Saccharomyces cerevisiae S288C: one gene and its partners. The gene in region 2 interacts genetically with the main gene of each other region. Each region holds a gene or a part of one and is shown on either strand. Other genes may lie near its edges. The genes, in order: AUA1, YCR102C and MGA1.

Region 1 (2,858 bases), on a different chromosome or scaffold from region 2:
CGGAATCGCCCAGATATTTAGTAGAAAAAGGTAAGTATGAAGAAGCTAGAAGGTCTTTGGCCAAATCAAACAAGGTCACAGTTACTGATCCAGGCGTTGTTTTTGAGTTTGATACTATAGTTGCAAATATGGAATTAGAAAGGGCTGTTGGAAATGCCAGTTGGCACGAACTCTTCTCAAATAAAGGAGCAATTCTACCAAGGGTAATAATGGGAATCGTTATCCAGTCACTGCAACAGCTTACTGGCTGTAATTATTTTTTCTACTACGGCACGACCATTTTCAATGCTGTTGGAATGCAAGACTCTTTCGAGACTTCCATTGTCCTTGGGGCTGTTAATTTTGCTTCTACATTTGTTGCACTATACATTGTGGATAAATTTGGGCGTCGAAAATGTTTATTGTGGGGGTCTGCCTCGATGGCAATTTGTTTCGTCATATTCGCCACCGTTGGCGTCACTAGATTATGGCCACAAGGGAAAGACCAACCTTCTTCGCAAAGTGCTGGTAATGTTATGATCGTTTTTACTTGTTTCTTCATTTTCTCTTTTGCCATTACTTGGGCTCCTATCGCCTATGTCATTGTGGCAGAAACTTATCCATTAAGAGTTAAAAATCGTGCCATGGCCATTGCGGTTGGTGCGAACTGGATGTGGGGTTTCTTGATTGGATTTTTCACACCCTTTATCACTAGATCCATAGGATTTTCTTATGGCTATGTTTTCATGGGTTGCTTAATCTTTTCGTACTTCTACGTTTTCTTCTTTGTTTGCGAAACAAAGGGATTAACTCTGGAGGAAGTTAATGAAATGTACGAAGAAAGAATAAAGCCATGGAAGTCCGGAGGTTGGATTCCCAGTTCTAGAAGAACACCACAACCAACAAGCAGTACACCATTAGTTATTGTTGATAGTAAATAATTTCTAAATATTCTTGTACTCTGGTAAACAGAAATAACAACAGATAATGGATTGATGCTTTACTTCTATTTCATGGAGATTGGTTTTATATAATAGCCTTTATTAATGGCGTCACAAATTGAAAAAAAAATTAAAAAAAATAAGACGGACACATTTGCGACGCCGGTGAATAAATGCATATAAGTAGTTTATAAGCTAGCTACTACTCAGAAATAATTTCAAAAAAAAAAAGAAGTGGGCACTTTAAAATGAAGATTAGCTATAGTAAATTACTGTAGTATAACAACTACCTGCTATCTTTCTGAAAAAATCAGGCAATGTAAGGTCAAACTTGTACCATCGACATATATAATGTTTTGAGATATAAGTAACTAGAGACCAGTTTATACAGGATCTTACCTCTTTTTACCGTTATGAAAGCTTTATTACTGCGTTGTTAGTAAACACACATATTATTTTCGGGTAGTCCTGTCGATGTTCCAAGGCTTTGCATTTATCATTGTTTCCGCTTCATCGGTGGTATTAGTTAGTGTATCTGTATGTGAAGTATGTGGATAGGTGCTTCTATTATTGGAACAAAACACCTTAAACGCGCACTAGGTTATAGGAAAGGGTCCATTATTCAAAGAACGGCTTATTGAAAAGTATGTTGTAAAGCTCGGTCATATCGCGCATAGCCACGATAAGGCGTGGTGCTGCTTCATAGATTGAGAGGCGCAGTCAATACACAACCATACCGGTAGTTTGATAAATGATACTATCATTCCGGAAGCTCTCTAGTAAGCTGTAGGTGGCATATACGGTATCTATCATCTAGTAATAGCTATTGATTTTTTTCTCGACTATGCTATATGTGTTGTGATGGTTCACTTAGAAGTGAAAAAGTAGCAATAAATTAGACAGACAGAAGTAATTGAAGCTACATTCAACAACATGGCTAAGTAAAAAAGCGTAGAATATCATGATGGGTTTTTTTATCTTTTAATTGCTTTCTATGTAGTATAATGGACCGATCTTTGCAAGTATATATCTGTATGTATCCATATTTAGATGGCAGCAAGCAATATAGATTTGATGAGCTTATATCATTTTATCGTCCTTGTCCAAAAAGTCTTGATAACATTAAAAGTCACTACCGTCAAATCCATCATCAAATCCGCCGTCGAACCCACCAGCATCATCAAATCCGCCGTCGGACCCACCAGCATCATCACCGTAGTAATTGTTCTCGACAACGACAGTGTCTGGTCCGTCATAGTTGTGGTCGTCAAATGCGTGTTCTAGCATAGCTCCACCTAACAAACCCGCACCAACACCAAGTAAACCACCCATCATGGCACCGCCGTGTCCACTACCTTTACTGGTGCTTGGCGCAGTTCCATAGTATGCTTGCTGTGGTGCTGCTGCTGGCATAGGGGCTTGTTGAGGATAGTAACGCTGCTGTTGAGGGTATTGAGGGTACTGAGGCTGTTGAGGCTGATAGTAACGAGGTTGCTGTGCTTGGGCCCCTGCTTGCACTTGCGGTGTTGATTGAGAAGAATAAGGTGGAGGAGCCTGGTCTGCCTGTTGACGAGAACTCTTCTCATTGTTAACACCTGGTGGAGGACCTTTGGGTCTTGGCCATGTTGTTCCCCTTGGTGGTTCCCACTGAGAGCTGTTCGTAGATAAATCTACATAATACCAAGTCTGGTATTCATCATCAAAAACAGCCTTCCAGCCAGAAGGCACTTGAGGAGGATTACTTTTACTTTGAGCCATTACTTTAAAATGTTTTGGGTTTTTTTATCGACTCTCTTGTAGTGAGTGATAAAAGCAATTCAGAAAGAGTCTTTTGATTATCATGACTAAAGTAAACTTTTTCTTCCAGCTGCCGGCTCGGTCAGGTGGACGAAACAAAAAAGCCTGTTGAAATAATACTGAATACGTTAAAACGTCACA
Region 2 (3,407 bases):
TTGAGAGAAGTTGATGTTCAAAGTATCGTGTATGATAAAAATAGAATTGTAACCAGTTCGTAGTAGCAGTATTAAAACTTTGATTCCGAGATGTAATCCCTCTTTTCTAGCCAGATATGAAGGAAAAAAGTGTAAGGGTAGTTGAGAGCGCTACTTTATTTTATTCTATTTTAAAAATGTTCTCTAGGAGAGGTGTATTAATAGTTGGTACTCCATGTAGCTTCTAAGTCAAAAGAAATGTCTCTATCTTTATGGTAACGGTTCATCGTTAGAGCTCAATTGTGCTTCTTGGATGTATTTCCAAAGTCCCACGTTTAATAACCCACACAACATAAATGTCCTTGAATATAAAAAATTTCGAAAGCTCCCCGTAAAGAATGCTTGATAATCAGCTCCATCAAAGAAATACTTTTTGTTCTTCCAAACTTTTCCTCTCAGCAAATACATATTTATTTCCTTTGCAACCACTTTCTAGAGAATTCATAATAGTTGATAAAAAAGGCATTTTGTCTTCTATGTTCATAATTTCAATTCTTGAATTTTGGAAATCGTGAAATGTTTCGAGAAACCGCCTTCAATAATTAGAAAACAAAATAAAAGATTACAGTTAGGCCACTCAAAAATACAATTCAGATAAGAAAGGTGCGATAGTGGGGAATAAGAATTGGAAATCCGCTTGATAATCAGGGAAAACTTAAAGAACGGGGTGTTAAAAGTCTGTGAAGTATAGATCAAACTCGCACTAGCTAGCAATACTCATGAGAACCTAGGTGAGTGTAAAGCAGTGAACCTTCTTTAGAAAGCAGAGAAAAATCCTCCAAGTTAACAGTCTTCCATACTTACTCAGTATGGATCAAGTTCCACAGTTTGTCCACTTCTGTAGAATAAACTTGTAGTGCTTTTCCGATGAAAAGGGATAGAGTCTTTAAAAGACTTGATCTTGGCATTTTTATCCTCCTTCAAGCAGAATGGCTCCAGTAGAGTTGTTCTGAACGCTTCTGGGCAGTGAGCAGCATTGAAGAAAAAGTACTCAGCATTCCAAGCTTTGTCTTCATATAATTATAAATTAAAACTCATAGCCACCAATTTCCAGGTTTTGGTCGCAATATGCTGCAGAATCAATGGCTTGTTTCGTTACTATACTGGTCCGACGGAGTTTACTTTACTCTAAATTTGCTGAAATAGCAAGGCCACACGCCATACAATTAACAATAGTTCATTCAGTTGAAAGGTTTCCGAGATAGAAAGTGCGGTAGTAGAGAAGAACAATAAACGTATCAAACTTTGCGCAGTCATGGAATTTCCAGGAAACATTTTTAGGTTTTCATATGACAGCAGTTCCTGTCCGAGAGCTGTGCCTTTCTTGTCTCAGCTGACTAAGATGTCTCGGATCCGCCCGGCTGGCGCGCGGCTCCGTCTAGTGGGATAGGCTTTCAACACATAGGAAACCCTTCAGATGATGAGAACACATCGAATCCCAGAGAGTAATATCACCAAGAATAAAGCAACCATGATAGACAATATTACTAAGTGTTCCTCAACAGATATTGAGAAAAGTTCTTATAAAGCGGGCAGGCTTTTTTCTATTTTTTTCTTTTTCTTTATCTAGCTTAAGATCCTTCTAACCATATTCTATAAAATGGCAAGCTGAATACAGATTATCAACGACAATTACATATAACCTACAAACAGGCAAGTTGCAATTCCAGAAACCATGAAGGCTGTCGTCATTGAAGACGGTAAAGCGGTTGTCAAAGAGGGCGTTCCCATTCCTGAATTGGAAGAAGGATTCGTATTGATTAAGACACTCGCTGTTGCTGGTAACCCGACTGATTGGGCACACATTGACTACAAGGTCGGGCCTCAAGGATCTATTCTGGGATGTGACGCTGCCGGCCAAATTGTCAAATTGGGCCCAGCCGTCGATCCTAAAGACTTTTCTATTGGTGATTATATTTATGGGTTCATTCACGGATCTTCCGTAAGGTTTCCTTCCAATGGTGCTTTTGCTGAATATTCTGCTATTTCAACTGTGGTTGCCTACAAATCACCCAATGAACTCAAATTTTTGGGTGAAGATGTTCTACCTGCCGGCCCTGTCAGGTCTTTGGAAGGGGCAGCCACTATCCCAGTGTCACTGACCACAGCTGGCTTGGTGTTGACCTATAACTTGGGCTTGAACCTGAAGTGGGAGCCATCAACCCCACAAAGAAACGGCCCCATCTTATTATGGGGCGGTGCAACTGCAGTAGGTCAGTCGCTCATCCAATTAGCCAATAAATTGAATGGCTTCACCAAGATCATTGTTGTGGCTTCTCGGAAACACGAAAAACTGTTGAAAGAATATGGTGCTGATCAACTATTTGATTACCATGATATTGACGTGGTAGAACAAATTAAACACAAGTACAACAATATCTCGTATTTAGTCGACTGTGTCGCGAATCAAAATACGCTTCAACAAGTGTACAAATGTGCGGCCGATAAACAGGATGCTACCGTTGTCGAATTAACTAATTTGACAGAAGAAAACGTCAAAAAGGAGAATAGGAGGCAAAATGTCACTATTGACAGAACAAGACTGTATTCAATAGGCGGCCATGAAGTACCATTTGGTGGCATTACTTTCCCTGCTGACCCAGAAGCCAGGAGAGCTGCCACCGAATTCGTCAAGTTCATCAATCCAAAGATTAGTGATGGGCAAATTCACCATATTCCAGCAAGGGTCTATAAGAACGGGCTTTACGATGTTCCTCGTATCCTGGAAGACATTAAAATCGGTAAGAACTCTGGTGAAAAACTAGTTGCCGTATTAAACTAGATGACGAACAGATATTATTTTTCTTTTGTATACACAGTTATTACGTATGTTAGAGTGACTTGGTTTTTTTTTTTTTAATGAAATTGTTTGTTATTGATCACGCCTTGTAGGGGAAACAGATGAGAACAGTGAAAATCATAACTCATTATGTGATTTGTTGTGCGTCACCCTTCCATGATTATATATCCTTACTATCTACTATCCAACTACTACATATCTATTGAACTCATATGTACCAAGCACATAAAATTATGCACCTATTTCCATTGGCAAAGACTTGGCGAAATTTAATACACTGTAATAATATCCGGCGAAGCTCTTTAAGAATTCTTACCTATAATAGCGGCTCGCTGTCCGAACGATTGCGCCGCACTTTTCTGCCTCTTACATTCCCTTTTCCTAAGGCGATAAGCAGGCTGAATGGAAACTACGATATAACGCAGTAGAGGTCCCCCAAGAGCTGGAAAGAAAATATTGGTTTGATAGCCAGCACTATTCTATCCAGTGGGCTCTTGTACCATTTTCTGTGGTATGGCTTTGATTCAACTGCATACGTAGTTAACGCGATCAGCCGCACATGGGCATT
Region 3 (3,762 bases), on a different chromosome or scaffold from region 2:
AGAACGTAGTCTTATCGCAGCAGTTTTCCAAACAAAGAATGCCATTCATCAAATAATCCACAACCACCTCAAGAAAAATGGTGAAATTACAAAGGTTTAGCGAAAAGAAAAGCCTCATACACGAATTCGGCAAGTTTATCCTTGAAAAGCAAGAATCGGCGTTAACGGGCGACGCTGATGCAGTGTTCAATATCGCCATCAGTGGAGGATCGATGAACCAAGCGCTGTACGAAAGTTTGGTAAATGACAAAAACATTTTTCCACATATTAAGTGGCCACAATGGAGAATCTTCTTCTGTGACGAAAGATTGGTTCCATTTGAGGATCCGCAAAGTAACTATGGTCAGTTCAAAAAAACAGTTTTGGACCCGCTAGTGCATCAGGGCAACCAATTGAACTTAGGCCCCACTGTATACACTATCAACGAATCATTAATCGGTGGCGGTGAAACGGCCAATAGAAAGATTGCCGAAGAATACGCTTCCATGCTGCCTGCATCATTCGACCTAATCTTACTCGGATGCGGAGAAGATGGACATACATGCTCGTTGTTTCCCGGGGTTGAATTTAATTACCTTGTAGAAGAGATGGACCGCAAGGTTTTATGGTGTAATAATTCGCCCAAGGCACCCAAGGACAGGATCACCTTTACATTAGCAGTAGTAGCCGAGGCTAAAAGTGTGTGCTTTCTCGTTAGGGGAGCTGCTAAAAAGGCTATCATGCATGACGTGTTAATCGTAAAAAATAGCGAACTACCTAGTGTGCTGGTTAATGAAATGGTCGGAACCAAAGTAACTTGGTTTCTCGACGACGAAGCTGGCGCCTTGATTCCTGAAAACTGCTAATTACACTCGTCTTTATACGAAACTGGCTCCGTTAATCACGACAGACAACCTTAATTACATTACATAATAATAAATAAATGACAACTGTCTTCTTTACAGCGTATGTTGGAGCTTACTCCCGAAGCATAAACCCAGTTCTTCTAGAAGAATTGACAGCAGAAAGGAAAGGGGTACCGAAGGCAAACTCAACCTTAAAAGTTCCGTAAGCAACCGAGCCTCCGCGAAGGTTGCATAACTTAAAAGAAAAACATAGCTCACCCGGTGATACCGTTACAACGCGTTAATCTTAATGCTATGACTCGGAACCACCTGCAAAACAGCGCTAACGGAAATTTCCATGGAAATAGAATAAGGGACGCAGCAGGGTTTTTTTTTTTGGCGAGCACACGAAATATAAAATTGCTTCGGGCCAGCTGCATGGAAGGGTTAATTTCGCCCCTTTATCGCAAGCTACGCAGTTCTCCTGGCTCGAGAATGAATCTGGCCCGCCGCAGACGTTTCCTGGCCCCAGATTAGGAAGCAGCGGCGGCGGAACGGAAGGTGCTCTAAGCAAAATAAGGAATATTAGCCACGCCGGTAATTCCCCTCCTTTGGTCTGCCCCTGGTCTGCCCCTTTCGTTTTTTATTTTTTTTTGGGTGAACGGAATACTCCGTGGGCGGCACAAGGAGAGCCTGCGTAGGAATCTGTGCGTCTCAGTCGGGCGGGCCGATTTAGCACCGATGGTTCGCTTTGGCTTGGGCTTACGGTGACTGCGAGATTTGCAGATTAGTGCATATCCGCGCCTTTGTATGACGTGAAGCGATCCGCCCTGAACAACTTGTTACGTATATGATGTTGACTCTGCGCCCCCGTCTCTCTGGTTGCTGCCTTCTGCGCTGATTTGGTGCAATCTTTCTTTTTTGTCTTTGAAAGATTTAAGCTTTTTTTCGAGAAGAAAAAGGAGGAACCGAAAAAATAATCTTTCAGTTGTTGACCCGTAGAGCAGAAAATGGAAGGCAGTAGATATCCATATCGAAGGAAAAGCACAAACTTATCACGTTTAGGGTATTCATTAACGTTGAAGTAATCAGGTAGTGAATAGCTCGAAGTTTTCCATGCTTTCCTTTCGGTTGCATCTTTCTTCCTTTGGGGTTTTATCTTGATACGTCGTTACTTACCTTTTTTTCCAATATATATATATTGGTAGTAGCTGATCATTGCAGAAGATCTAGATCTCCTTTACACGCTTTAAGGTTAGGCAGCTGTAACCCCTATATTGAATTTTCACCCACGCCATAAAATACAATAGCTCAGAGAACCGGTGGCCACATGCAACCTAAAACTTTCGTCCACCAACTTCATGCAATTCTTCTGGAACCGGAAGTAAATAAATGGATATACTGGTCTCCGACTGATAACACGGTATTTTTTTTGAAGCCATATGACCCTAATTTTAGTACACATGTTCTGAAGCGTTATTTCAAACATGGAAATGTCAATAGTTTTGTTCGTCAACTACACATGTACGGGTTTCATAAACTATCTCATCCTTCCCCAGACCAATCTTCTGCCAACAATGGTAACGTTAAAGAACTTGTTGAATGGAAATTTACCCACCCATCTGGATTCTTCTTCAAAGAGGCCAACGCCGGTATCTTGAATAAAATCCAAAGAAAGAGCACTGGTGTGGGAAAAGATGGTAAAAGAAAGAATATACTGTCACCAATATCTGTCAGTTACGTTGATGCTTCGAGGTTAAATGTTCTCTCTCAGCAATCCGGACCAGTTTCTGCAAGAGAACCATCAAACATGTTTATGGGCAGTCCCGTCCATTACTCAACATCCCAAAGTCCTCCACATATCAGTATACCGCAACAGCAACAAAGTAGTGGACCTTACCTAATATCTTCACTGCCCCCTCAACAACCCACGGTGAACATGATGCGAAGGCAAAGCATCTCGGCGAGGATGATGAATTCTTATGACTATCCCAATCAATTTTCCACCCAAGATAGCATAGTCCAGCCTCAGCAGCCGCAACAAGTACTTTCTCCACAAGCATTATCTGGACCTCCGATGAAGAAATCAGGAACACTATCTTCGACAGATGATCTGAAAACAACTTCCTTGCCAATTGTTAATTACCCAATGCCGTATCATCCTGGAGCTTTTGCCCAGCAGCAGCAGCAGCAGCAGCAACCGCTCCCTACAGTCCCGCCATATAGCAGTTACTCCACTCCATTTCCCTCAATGATGAACTCTCTTTCGAACTCTGCTTCTAACTCACCTGCTTTAGGAGTTTGTAATAATAATGTAACACTACCCAAAAAAAGCAATATAAGTGAAAGGCAAGCTTTGGATAACCATATACAAACTTTAAAGAACTCTCTATCAACAATCACTGATTTGATAGAAAAACATATTAACAGCGCATCGCAAGATGAAAATAAAACTCTAACTAATGATGCCATGAACAAAGACCTTCGAACAAGCTTATCCCTATTACAGAATTCCAAGGAGGAAATCATTCAACTTGAAAGTAAATGGATGTCTATGCAATCTGTTAAAACAACTGCCCTACCCCTTCAAGAGACTACGAATACATCATCGACCTTAACTTCTCTGACGTCCAGCATAATTCCCAAGAGTATACCTATAATCACGAAAGGTGAAGTCGCCACTAAACCAGCATCTTACTGAATTATTTTCAACAGAACACATCGCATCCAACTGAACAAACTGTTACCGCTGTTGATACCAAGGAACATTCAGTGAACGTAGGGAAGAACGAACATTCTCCATATTTTTGCATACTAGATACAAGGGGGAAGAATGCAATTATTTCACAAACCGAAAGAAAAAGAATCACAAGCTATGTTTGCTATTATCAATTTTTCTTATGATTAATTTAACATAAATTATGGCCTTTTTCATTCC

Evidence for each region.
Region 1: mutations in YCR102C (region 2) and AUA1 together harm fitness more than expected from each alone (negative genetic interaction), as found in Saccharomyces cerevisiae (one large-scale study listed by BioGRID).
Region 3: mutations in YCR102C (region 2) and MGA1 together harm fitness more than expected from each alone (negative genetic interaction), as found in Saccharomyces cerevisiae (one large-scale study listed by BioGRID).

Annotation. Positions count from the first base shown.
Region 1 is NC_001138.5:113,066-115,923, forward strand, and holds AUA1 (Aua1p), read left to right. Parts: upstream 1-1,924; coding exon 1,925-2,209; downstream 2,210-2,858. Other genes in the region: hexose transporter HXT10, read left to right, coding at 1-920; WWM1 (Wwm1p), read right to left, coding at 2,043-2,678. UniProt on the Saccharomyces cerevisiae protein: Involved in ammonia regulation of the GAP1 permease.
Region 2 is NC_001135.5:303,775-307,181, reverse strand, and holds YCR102C (uncharacterized protein), read left to right. Parts: upstream 1-1,714; coding exon 1,715-2,821; downstream 2,822-3,407.
Region 3 is NC_001139.9:985,895-989,656, forward strand, and holds MGA1 (Mga1p), read left to right. Parts: upstream 1-2,154; coding exon 2,155-3,525; downstream 3,526-3,762. Other genes in the region: 6-phosphogluconolactonase SOL4, read left to right, coding at 78-845.